Linked DNA regions of Oryctolagus cuniculus. The protein of the gene in region 2 interacts with the protein of the main gene of each other region in a pairwise test. Links are inferred from orthologs where the notes say so. Each region holds a gene or a part of one and is shown on either strand. Other genes may lie near its edges.

What was found.
Region 1: the proteins of CDC73 (region 2) and HSF2BP interact in binary tests that used the Homo sapiens proteins (3 or more experiments, as listed by UniProt). The link is inferred for Oryctolagus cuniculus from reciprocal best matches to the Homo sapiens genes CDC73 and HSF2BP.

Annotation. Positions count from the first base shown.
Region 1 is NC_091435.1:2,458,453-2,463,078, reverse strand, and holds the start of HSF2BP (heat shock factor 2-binding protein), read right to left. Parts: upstream 3,063-4,626; 5' UTR 2,968-3,062; intron 1-2,967. Other genes in the region: RRP1B (ribosomal RNA processing protein 1 homolog B), read left to right, coding at 3,148-3,277. UniProt on the Homo sapiens protein: Meiotic recombination factor component of recombination bridges involved in meiotic double-strand break repair.
Region 2 is NC_091444.1:9,863,234-9,867,116, reverse strand, and holds part of CDC73 (parafibromin), read right to left. Parts: intron 2,069-3,883; coding exon 1,852-2,068; intron 1-1,851.

The sequences.
Region 1 (4,626 bases), on a different chromosome or scaffold from region 2:
CGCCGCAGGGCCTGCTCCTCCCTCCACAGCCCTGCACCTGCGCAGGGACCCCCCAGGGCCTGCTCCTCCCTCCACAGCCCTGCACCTGCGCAGGGACCCCCCAGGGCCTGCTCCTCCCTCCACAGCCCTGCACCTGCACAGGGACCCCGCAGGGGCTGCTCCTCCCTCCTCCACAGCCCTGCACCTGCGCAGGGACCCCCCAGGGCCTGCTCCTCCCTCCACAGCCCTGCACCTGCACAGGGACCCCGCAGGGCCTGCTCCTCCCTCCACAGCCCTGCACCTGCGCAGGGACCCCGCAGGGCCTGCTCCTCCCTCCACAGCCCTGCACCTGCACAGGGACCCCGCAGGGCCTGCTCCTCCCTCCACAGCCCTGCACCTGCGCAGGGACCCCGCAGGGCCTGCTCCTCCCTCCTCCACAGTCCTGCTCCTGCACAGGGACCCCGCAGGGCCTGCTCCTCCCTCCCTCCACAGCCCTGCACCTGCGCAGGGACCCCGCAGGGCCTGCTCCTCCCTCCACAGCCCTGCACCTGCGCAGGGACCTCACAGGGCCTGCTCCTCCCTCCCTCCACAGCCCTGCACCTGCGCAGGGACCCCGCAGGGCCTGCTCCTCCCTCCACAGCCCTGCACCTGCGCAGGGACCCCGCAGGGCCTGCTCCTCCCTCCACAGCCCTGCACCTGCGCAGGGACCCCGCAGGGCCTGCTCCTCCCTCCACAGCCCTGCACCTGCGCAGGGACCCCGCAGGGCCTGCTCCTCCCTCCCTCCACAGCCCTGCACCTGCGCAGGGACCCCCCCAGGGCCTGCTCCTCCCTCCACAGCCCTGCACCTGCACAGGGACCCCGCAGGGCCTGCTCCTCTCTCCTCTACAGCCCTGCACCTGCGCAGGGACCCCCCAGGGCCTGCTCCTCTCTCCTCTACAGCCCTGCACCTGCACAGGGCCCTCCACAGGGCCTGCTCCTCCCTCCACAGCCCTGCACCTGCGCAGGGACCCCGCAGGGCCTGCTCCTCCCTCCACAGCCCTGCACCTGCGCAGGGACCCCGCAGGGCCTGCTCCTCCCTCCACAGCCCTGCACCTGCGCAGGGACCCCGCAGGGCCTGCTCCTCCCTCCCTCCACAGCCCTGCACCTGCGCAGGGACCCCCCAGGGCCTGCTCCTCCCTCCACAGCCCTGCACCTGCACAGGGACCCCGCAGGGACTTCTCCCTCCTCCACAGTCCTGCACCTGCGCAGGGACCCCGCAGGGCCTGCTCCTCCCTCCACAGCCCTGCACCTGCGCAGGGACCCCGCAGGGCCTGCTCCTCCCTCCACAGCCCTGCACCTGCGCAGGGACCCCGCAGGGCCTGCTCCTCCCTCCACAGCCCTGCACCTGCGCAGGGACCCCGCAGGGCCTGCTCCTCCCTCCACAGCCCTGCACCTGCGCAGGGACCCCGCAGGGACTTCTCCCTCCTCCACAGTCCTGCACCTGCGCAGGGACCCCGCAGGGCCTGCTCCTCCCTCCACAGTCCTGCACCTGCGCAGGGACCCCGCAGGGACTTCTCCCTCCTCCACAGCCCTGCACCTGCGCAGGGACCCCGCAGGGACTTCTCCCTCCTCCACAGTCCTGCACCTGCGCAGGGACCCCGCAGCCCTGCACCTGCACTGTGGGCTGGCCCTTCGAGGCCCCTGCACGTGTTACCAGAGATTGATGCTCCCAGGTTCATGGGGGCCTTTGGCGTGTTCTCCCCACCCCCAAGATTATGGGTTACTCCTCTTAGGGAACCATTTTATGCAGCTGGGTAGGCATTAGCAATGTGTGTACGAGAGCCAAAGAAAACGGGAAAATCTTGAAGAAAACTCGGAATTTCTGTGTGAGGCCAGGAGGAAGCAAGCCTTGGAAGCAAACCAGCATTTACGTATCAGTCTTGTTACTTGTTATGGTTCAGGAACTGGTTGGCCAACCCTCTCCAGAGGCAGCTTAGAAGAAGGCTCCGTTCAGAAGTCCTGGGACGGGGCTGGCGCTGTGGCGTAGCAGGAAAAGCCGCCGCCTGCAGGGCTGGCGTCCCATGTGGGCGCCGGTTCCAGTCTTGGCTGCTCCACTTCCTTTTTTTTTTTTTTTTTTTTTGTCTTTTTTTAAAAGATTTATTTATTTATTTGAAAGAGTTACAGAGAGGAGAGAAAGAGAGAGAAAGAGAATCTCCCATCCGCTGGTTCACTCCCAAATTGGCCACAGCAGCTGGAGCTGTGCCAATCAGGAGCCAGGAGCTTCTTCCGGGTCTCCCACGTGGGTGCAGGGGCCCAAGGACTTGGGCATCGTCCACTGCTTTCCCAGGTCATAGCAGAGAGTGGATCGGAAGTGGAGCAGCCGGGACTCAAACCGGTGCCAGTATGGGATTCCAGGACTGCAGGCAGCAGCTTTACCCAGTGCGCCACAGGGTCGTCCCCGCTGCTCCCCTTCCCATCCAGCTCTCTGCTATGGCCTGGGAAAGCAGTAGAAGATGCCCAAGTCCTTGGGCCCCTGCACCCGCGTGGGAGACCTGGAGGAAGCTCCTGGCTTCGGATCGGTGCAGCTCGGGCCATTGCGGCCAACTGGGGAGTGAACCAGCGGATGGAAGACCTGTGTGTGTGTGTGTGTGTGTGTGTGTGTGTGTGTGTAACTCTGACTTTCAAATAAATAAATAAGTATTTTAAAAAATTTTAAGTTCTGGGAGGAATTTTAGGAGTTTCTCCACCCAGCAAGGTCCCAGAACGGACGTGGGAGGAGGAGGATGGGAGGGCCTGCCCCCAAAACCCATTACCACGCCGGCGCGAAGGCAGCCTGGGCCGGCAGGTGCACTGCGCATTACCCGCGGCCAGCACGCGGGGGACCGCTGCACCTGCAGCGCCAGGCGCGGGGTCCCGGCCGGAGCCCAGCACGCCGCAGTGACCGCCCGCGCGTCCCGATCCCGGCCGCAGCCCAGCGCGCGGCGCCCGGCGAGACCCTCCCCGGCTAACCTCGCCGTCAGCAGCCCCGACGGCGCCGGCGCGCGTCGCTCGGGCCCGCGGCCCCGCCCGCTGCCAGGCACGCGGCGCGACGGCCCAGAACGCGCCGCCCGGCGCCGCCTTTGTGACGTCATCGGCGCGCGCCGGCGGCTCTGCGCACGCGCGGCGGCCGGGGCTGCCCCAGTGGGCGCGATGGCCCCCGCCATGCAGCCGGCCGAGATGCAGTTTGCTCAGCGGCTGGCGTCCCACGAGAAGGGCGTCCGGGAGCGCGCGGTGAAGAAGCTGCGCCAGTACCTCAGCGTGAAGACGCAGAGGGAGGCAGGTGGGCGGCCGCGCGGCCCGAGCCACATGGCGGCCGGGCCGGGGGGTCGGGACCGGGGCCAGGGGGCGGGGCGGGGCTGGTTGGGGCCGGGGGCCGGTCGGGGCCGGGGCCGGTCGGGGCCGGCCGGGGCTGGGGGCCGGGGACGGGAGCTGGGGGCCGGTCGGGGCTGGGGGCCGGGGCCGGGGACCGGGGACGGGGCCGGGGCCAGGGGGCGGGCCCGGTCGGGGCCGGCCGGGGCTGGGGGCCGGGGCCGGGGACGGGAGCTGGGGGCTGGGGGCTGGGGGCCGGGGCCGGGCCGGGGGCTGGGGGCTGGGGCCGGGCCGGGCCGGGGCGGGGGCGGGGCGAGGCCAGTCGGGTCGGGGCCGCCCACCCGGCGCGCACAGGGCCTGGGAAGCTGTTGTCCACGTGGTCGTGTGGCGACTGACACCACGGAGTGCGCGAGGCCGTTTTCAGTGGGGGGAAGCGGGACCCCGGGGTCCCAGCGAGCGGGGAGGCCGGGCGGGCTCGGCTCTGCCCGACCCCCGAGCCCGCGGCCGAGTTCCCGCCCCGCGCCAACCGACACCTGCGGGTGCCCGGGGCGGCGGGAGGAGGAGGCGGCGAGGGCGGGCAGGGGTGGCGGCGTGGTCCCGCCTGCCGTGGGATGTCACTCGGCGAGGTGAGCGCAGAGCGGGGGTGCTGCCCGCTGGGGGTTCCCGCGGGTCTGCCCCACGGGGCCCCACGTCAGCCTCGTGGCCGCCCGCCTGTGTCCCTGGCTCGGCGGGGCAGTTTTGGCGCCGCCGCCGCAGGCTCTCTGGACCGGGGCTTGGAGAAGCACGGCTGGGGCTGTAGCTCCCGGCTGGGGGCTCCCTCGCCGGCCTTCCTCTGCTGGAACCTCCCGGTGCCGCTGTCCGTTCACTCACGGAGACCCAGGAGGCCAGCAAGGCTGGGTGCCTGCCCTGGCCCTCTCCGAGCTCGGCCGGCGAAAGGCCGGAGGGCGGGGGGTGCTGATGCTTGCATTGAAAACATGTTTTGGAAAGGAGACGGGAGAGTGGAGGATGGACGGGGACGCCCACCTGTTGCCGTGTTCACGGCCCTTGGCTGGCAGAGGGACCAGGTGACCGCCTCCTGGCGCTGCGTGGGAGGCAGCAGCTGGGGCTGTTCCTGTGCACTTCCTGTCCCCTGGGGCCGGCGTGGCGCCGCGTCCCCTCTGCCGAGAGAGCGCTGGCTCTCCGTGCAGGCTCCCTCAGCCGCCGGCGCCTGTGCCTCCCTGCCCAGAGCTCACGGCGCGTCGGCTTGTCACGTGCCGCCAGCTCGGCGCTTCCGGGAACCGGCTGGAGATACCTGAACACGTGGGGTTTGCTTGGTTTTTT
Region 2 (3,883 bases):
AGTTCTGAGTACTCGGGTGTTCTTCCACTGCATTCCCAGACACATTAACAGGGGGCTGGGATCACATGCAGGACAGCCGGGACTTGAACCAGCACTCGTCATGCCACCATCCCAGGCTGCAGCTTAGCCTACTAAGCTACAATGTGGGCTACCCTTCCCTCCAAAAATAAATCATTTTTTAAACACTCTTCTCTAGTAGCTTTATTCTTACAATGTCAGAGTAAATTTCAGACTAAAATCTCAAAATTCTACAATCAAAATCAATCTGCCTAGAAGAATGCTGAAGTGATGAACAGTGAAGCTCATCACTAATTGCCATGATTCTTCAAATATTCTTAATTAGATCATTTAACAACCGTACATCAGAGGATAATGAACGTTTAACAGAAAACTGAGGTGTAGAACAGGAAAGACTGATGAAAATATACACATGAGACAGAATCAATGTTTCCTTTGCAGAAATTCATGTTATCTTTCAAGGTCTGAAGTGTACATCTCAGGGCCAGTGCTGTGGAGCAGTGGGGTAAGCCTCCGCCTGAAACAGCAACATCCCATATGAGCACTGGTGTGAATTCCAGCTGCTCCACTTCAAGCTGGCTCCCTGTCAATGCACCTGGGAAAGAGTTTGTGCCCCTGTGGCCTACATGGGAGACCCGGATGAAGCTCCTGACTTTCGCCTGGCACAGCCCTGGCTGCTGTGGCCATTTGGGTAATAAACCAGGGATTGGAGATCAATCAATCAGTCTCTCTGTGTCACTCCCTAAAACTCTGCCTTTCAAATAAAAAAATTTTCTTAAACTGCACATCTCCTTTAACCAGAAATTCATTTTAATCCTTTACTAGTCACATAACTGAACAAAGTTATATATGTGTAAGAATGTCTTTTAAAGCATTATTTGTAATAGTGAAAGGGAAGGAAGGAGGAGGAAGGAAAAATCAAAGGGGAGGAAGTGGGAGGGAACCAAGGAAGAAAAGAGGCAGCGGACAAAGAGAGAGAGGAAAACCCCACAGTCTTGGAGCAAAAACAACAAAATAGCTCCCATAGTGAAGAAGCAAAAAAATAGAAAGTCCTACATCCACAATAAAGTATAAAATATACTCAATAAATGTCTGCTGACTGATTCTCTACTTTATGTAGAAAAAATTCATGATATCAGCTCTGATGACCAAAGAGCTTGCCATAAAACCCTCCAGACATGAGGTTATGAGGTTTCTTTTTTTTTTTTTTGGACAGGCAGAGTGGACAGTGAGAGAGAGAGAGACAGAGAGAAAGGTCTTCCTTTGCCGTTGGTTCACCCTCGCAGCCGGTTTGCTGTGACCAGCGCGCTGCACTGATCCAAAGGCAGGAGCCAGGTGCTTCTCCTGGTCTCTCATGGGGTGCAGAGGCCAAGCACCTGGGCCATCCTCCACTGCACTCCCTGGCCACAGCAGAGAGCTGGCCTGGAAGAGGGGCAACTGGGACAGAATCCGGCGCCCCGACCGGGACTAGAACCCGGTGTGCCGGCGCCGCAAGACGGAGGATAATTAGCCTAGTGAGCTGCGGCGCCGGCCCAAGACATGAGGTTTCAACAACAACAACAACAACAAAAAAAAACTGGGTCACTCTAATTTACAAATGGTATGTGGAGAGGCTTGCGCTCTGATTCAGATTTTATCAACTTCTTGAATGACTGACAGCCACGTTCAGGAATGCAAGGACAAATATGACCACTTGGAAATCTGTATTATTATTGTTCTTTCGAAGAGTGAAAACTACAAACTTCCTTCTAATAAAAAATGTTAAGCAATTCCATAACCAATCACAGACTAACCACAGACATGGCACTCTAAGAAATGAGTAACCTCTATTACCTTTCCCGTGCTCTGTAAAATCGTTGTTCGTGTCCTCCACACTCTCTCCCTGCTGACAATATCTCGAGTCACATCTACCTCGGCGTCTACAAAACTCCTCTGTTTGAGGGCAGTGATGTCATCATCTAGATCAGTTTTGATAGTAGATCTTTTCTTAGCCATAATTTTGGCTTTGATTGCAGCAATTTTTTCCACTGACATGGCTTCAGATAAAGACCTAAAATCAAATTCCTTTTTAAATTTTCAAAGCAAGAATTCCTTGAGCACATCACAAATACATTGTTACAATTTTCTAGTAAAAACACTTTAAGTAACAACAATTAAAGCCTTCTTTCTATAAAAATGACATATTTTGTACTCTTACAAGATTTTAACACATAAAGAAGGTTCATGCAGATATACTACTGTGAGTAAATTAATAAATTCCAGAAGAAACAATGCAACAAATGTCTTTATATTTATCATTTCCCTCCAAAAGAGCAGTAACTCATTAACATGAGTGTTTTCTTTGTATTTTTTGAGACTTTGTTAGTTAACCCACATCTATTCACAGAAAATAAACATACATATCGAGGCCAGTTGTTAAGAGGGTCCCAGAAGAGGAGTATGAAATTCATTATATAAAGACTTCAAAATTATAGGTTTTCTTGAAATTTATTTCAAGGTTTCAAAACCGTATGTCACAGGGTACAACATATACATAGGTGACAAAGGCTTTTATATACCACAGAAACACATACCCCTTTTAAACTCTGGAAGAAACCATAGTTTGAACACTTTATCTTCCCTGCATCTGATTTTCAAATAGCCAAAACAGCAAAGAGAGACAGGCTATATTTTCAGAACTATGTATAAAAAGCGACTTAATACTTAAAGTACAGATTTTGTAAGATGAATCTTAAGCAAAGTGTCTTTTTATATAATAAGATAAAAAGAATTAAAAAGTGTTTGAGTACCTTATTAAGAGTAGACAAAAATATTACTTTAGCCACAAGATGAAAATCTTGAAATATGTTTACACAAAATCTGGAAAAAGGACAGAAATTCCTGCAGGTTTAAATACAGCAGTATTATAAAGTAAACTAATTTTATTCAGATTAGGTATGAAGATACTTTATAGCAGATGATCAATATGGGTATGGTGGTATCTGACTCATTTTGTGTGACACTGTGCAACATTCCCCTAAAATCTAAAGCACCTAGAGTCAAGTTCAAATGCTCTTCTAAACTATAATCAAGCCTGCACTGGACTTGGTATCACTGGACTTTATTTCCAGCCACACTAAAACAGAGTGACAGGATTAACCTTCCTGTCTTAAATTACCAGTGAAAATGACAAGACACCAGGTTTAAAGGATATTAGATTATCAAACAGTGTAGAACAGTGATTTCCTGACAAATGAGAAACCAACAAGGTGAGCCCTTGGTGGCTTCCGAGATAGGGCATTAAGAAGAGAGCCCACAAAGACCTCAGAGAACTCCCGATTTGAGGGAATGCAGCTGGGGCGACAGCAAGACCAAGGTGGCGAGAATTCACAGGACAAAACACATGAGAAGAGAGCTACACAGATTCCTTGGAGTATTCCAGTAGAATACCAATTAGTACATGAAGATAACGAAATCATTTAAAGCTGGGTAAAGAATCAATCATCCAATGGAATTAAAGAGAACAATGCCCAGTGCTTACACAGAGTGAAGAACAGTACCTGTTCCCACCATCCAGATTAAAAGCCTCATATTCTCAGGGCATTAGAAAGCATATTATTCCCCACTTAAGCAGTAGGGAATAATTATGCTAAGTGACCATTGTTCAGATCTTACAACCAAAACCCAAAAACCTGTTTCCAAGGGATTTAACTGGGGCCCAGAACAAATCTAAATAAGATTTGGAAAAATACAAAAATGTCTACCACTCAACAGAATAAACTGCACAATGTCTGGTATCCGATGAAAGATAAAAACTGCAAAGAAGCAGAATATTAGCCAAAGAGAGGAAAAAGAACAATCAATCATAAAAACATTTTTAAAAGTA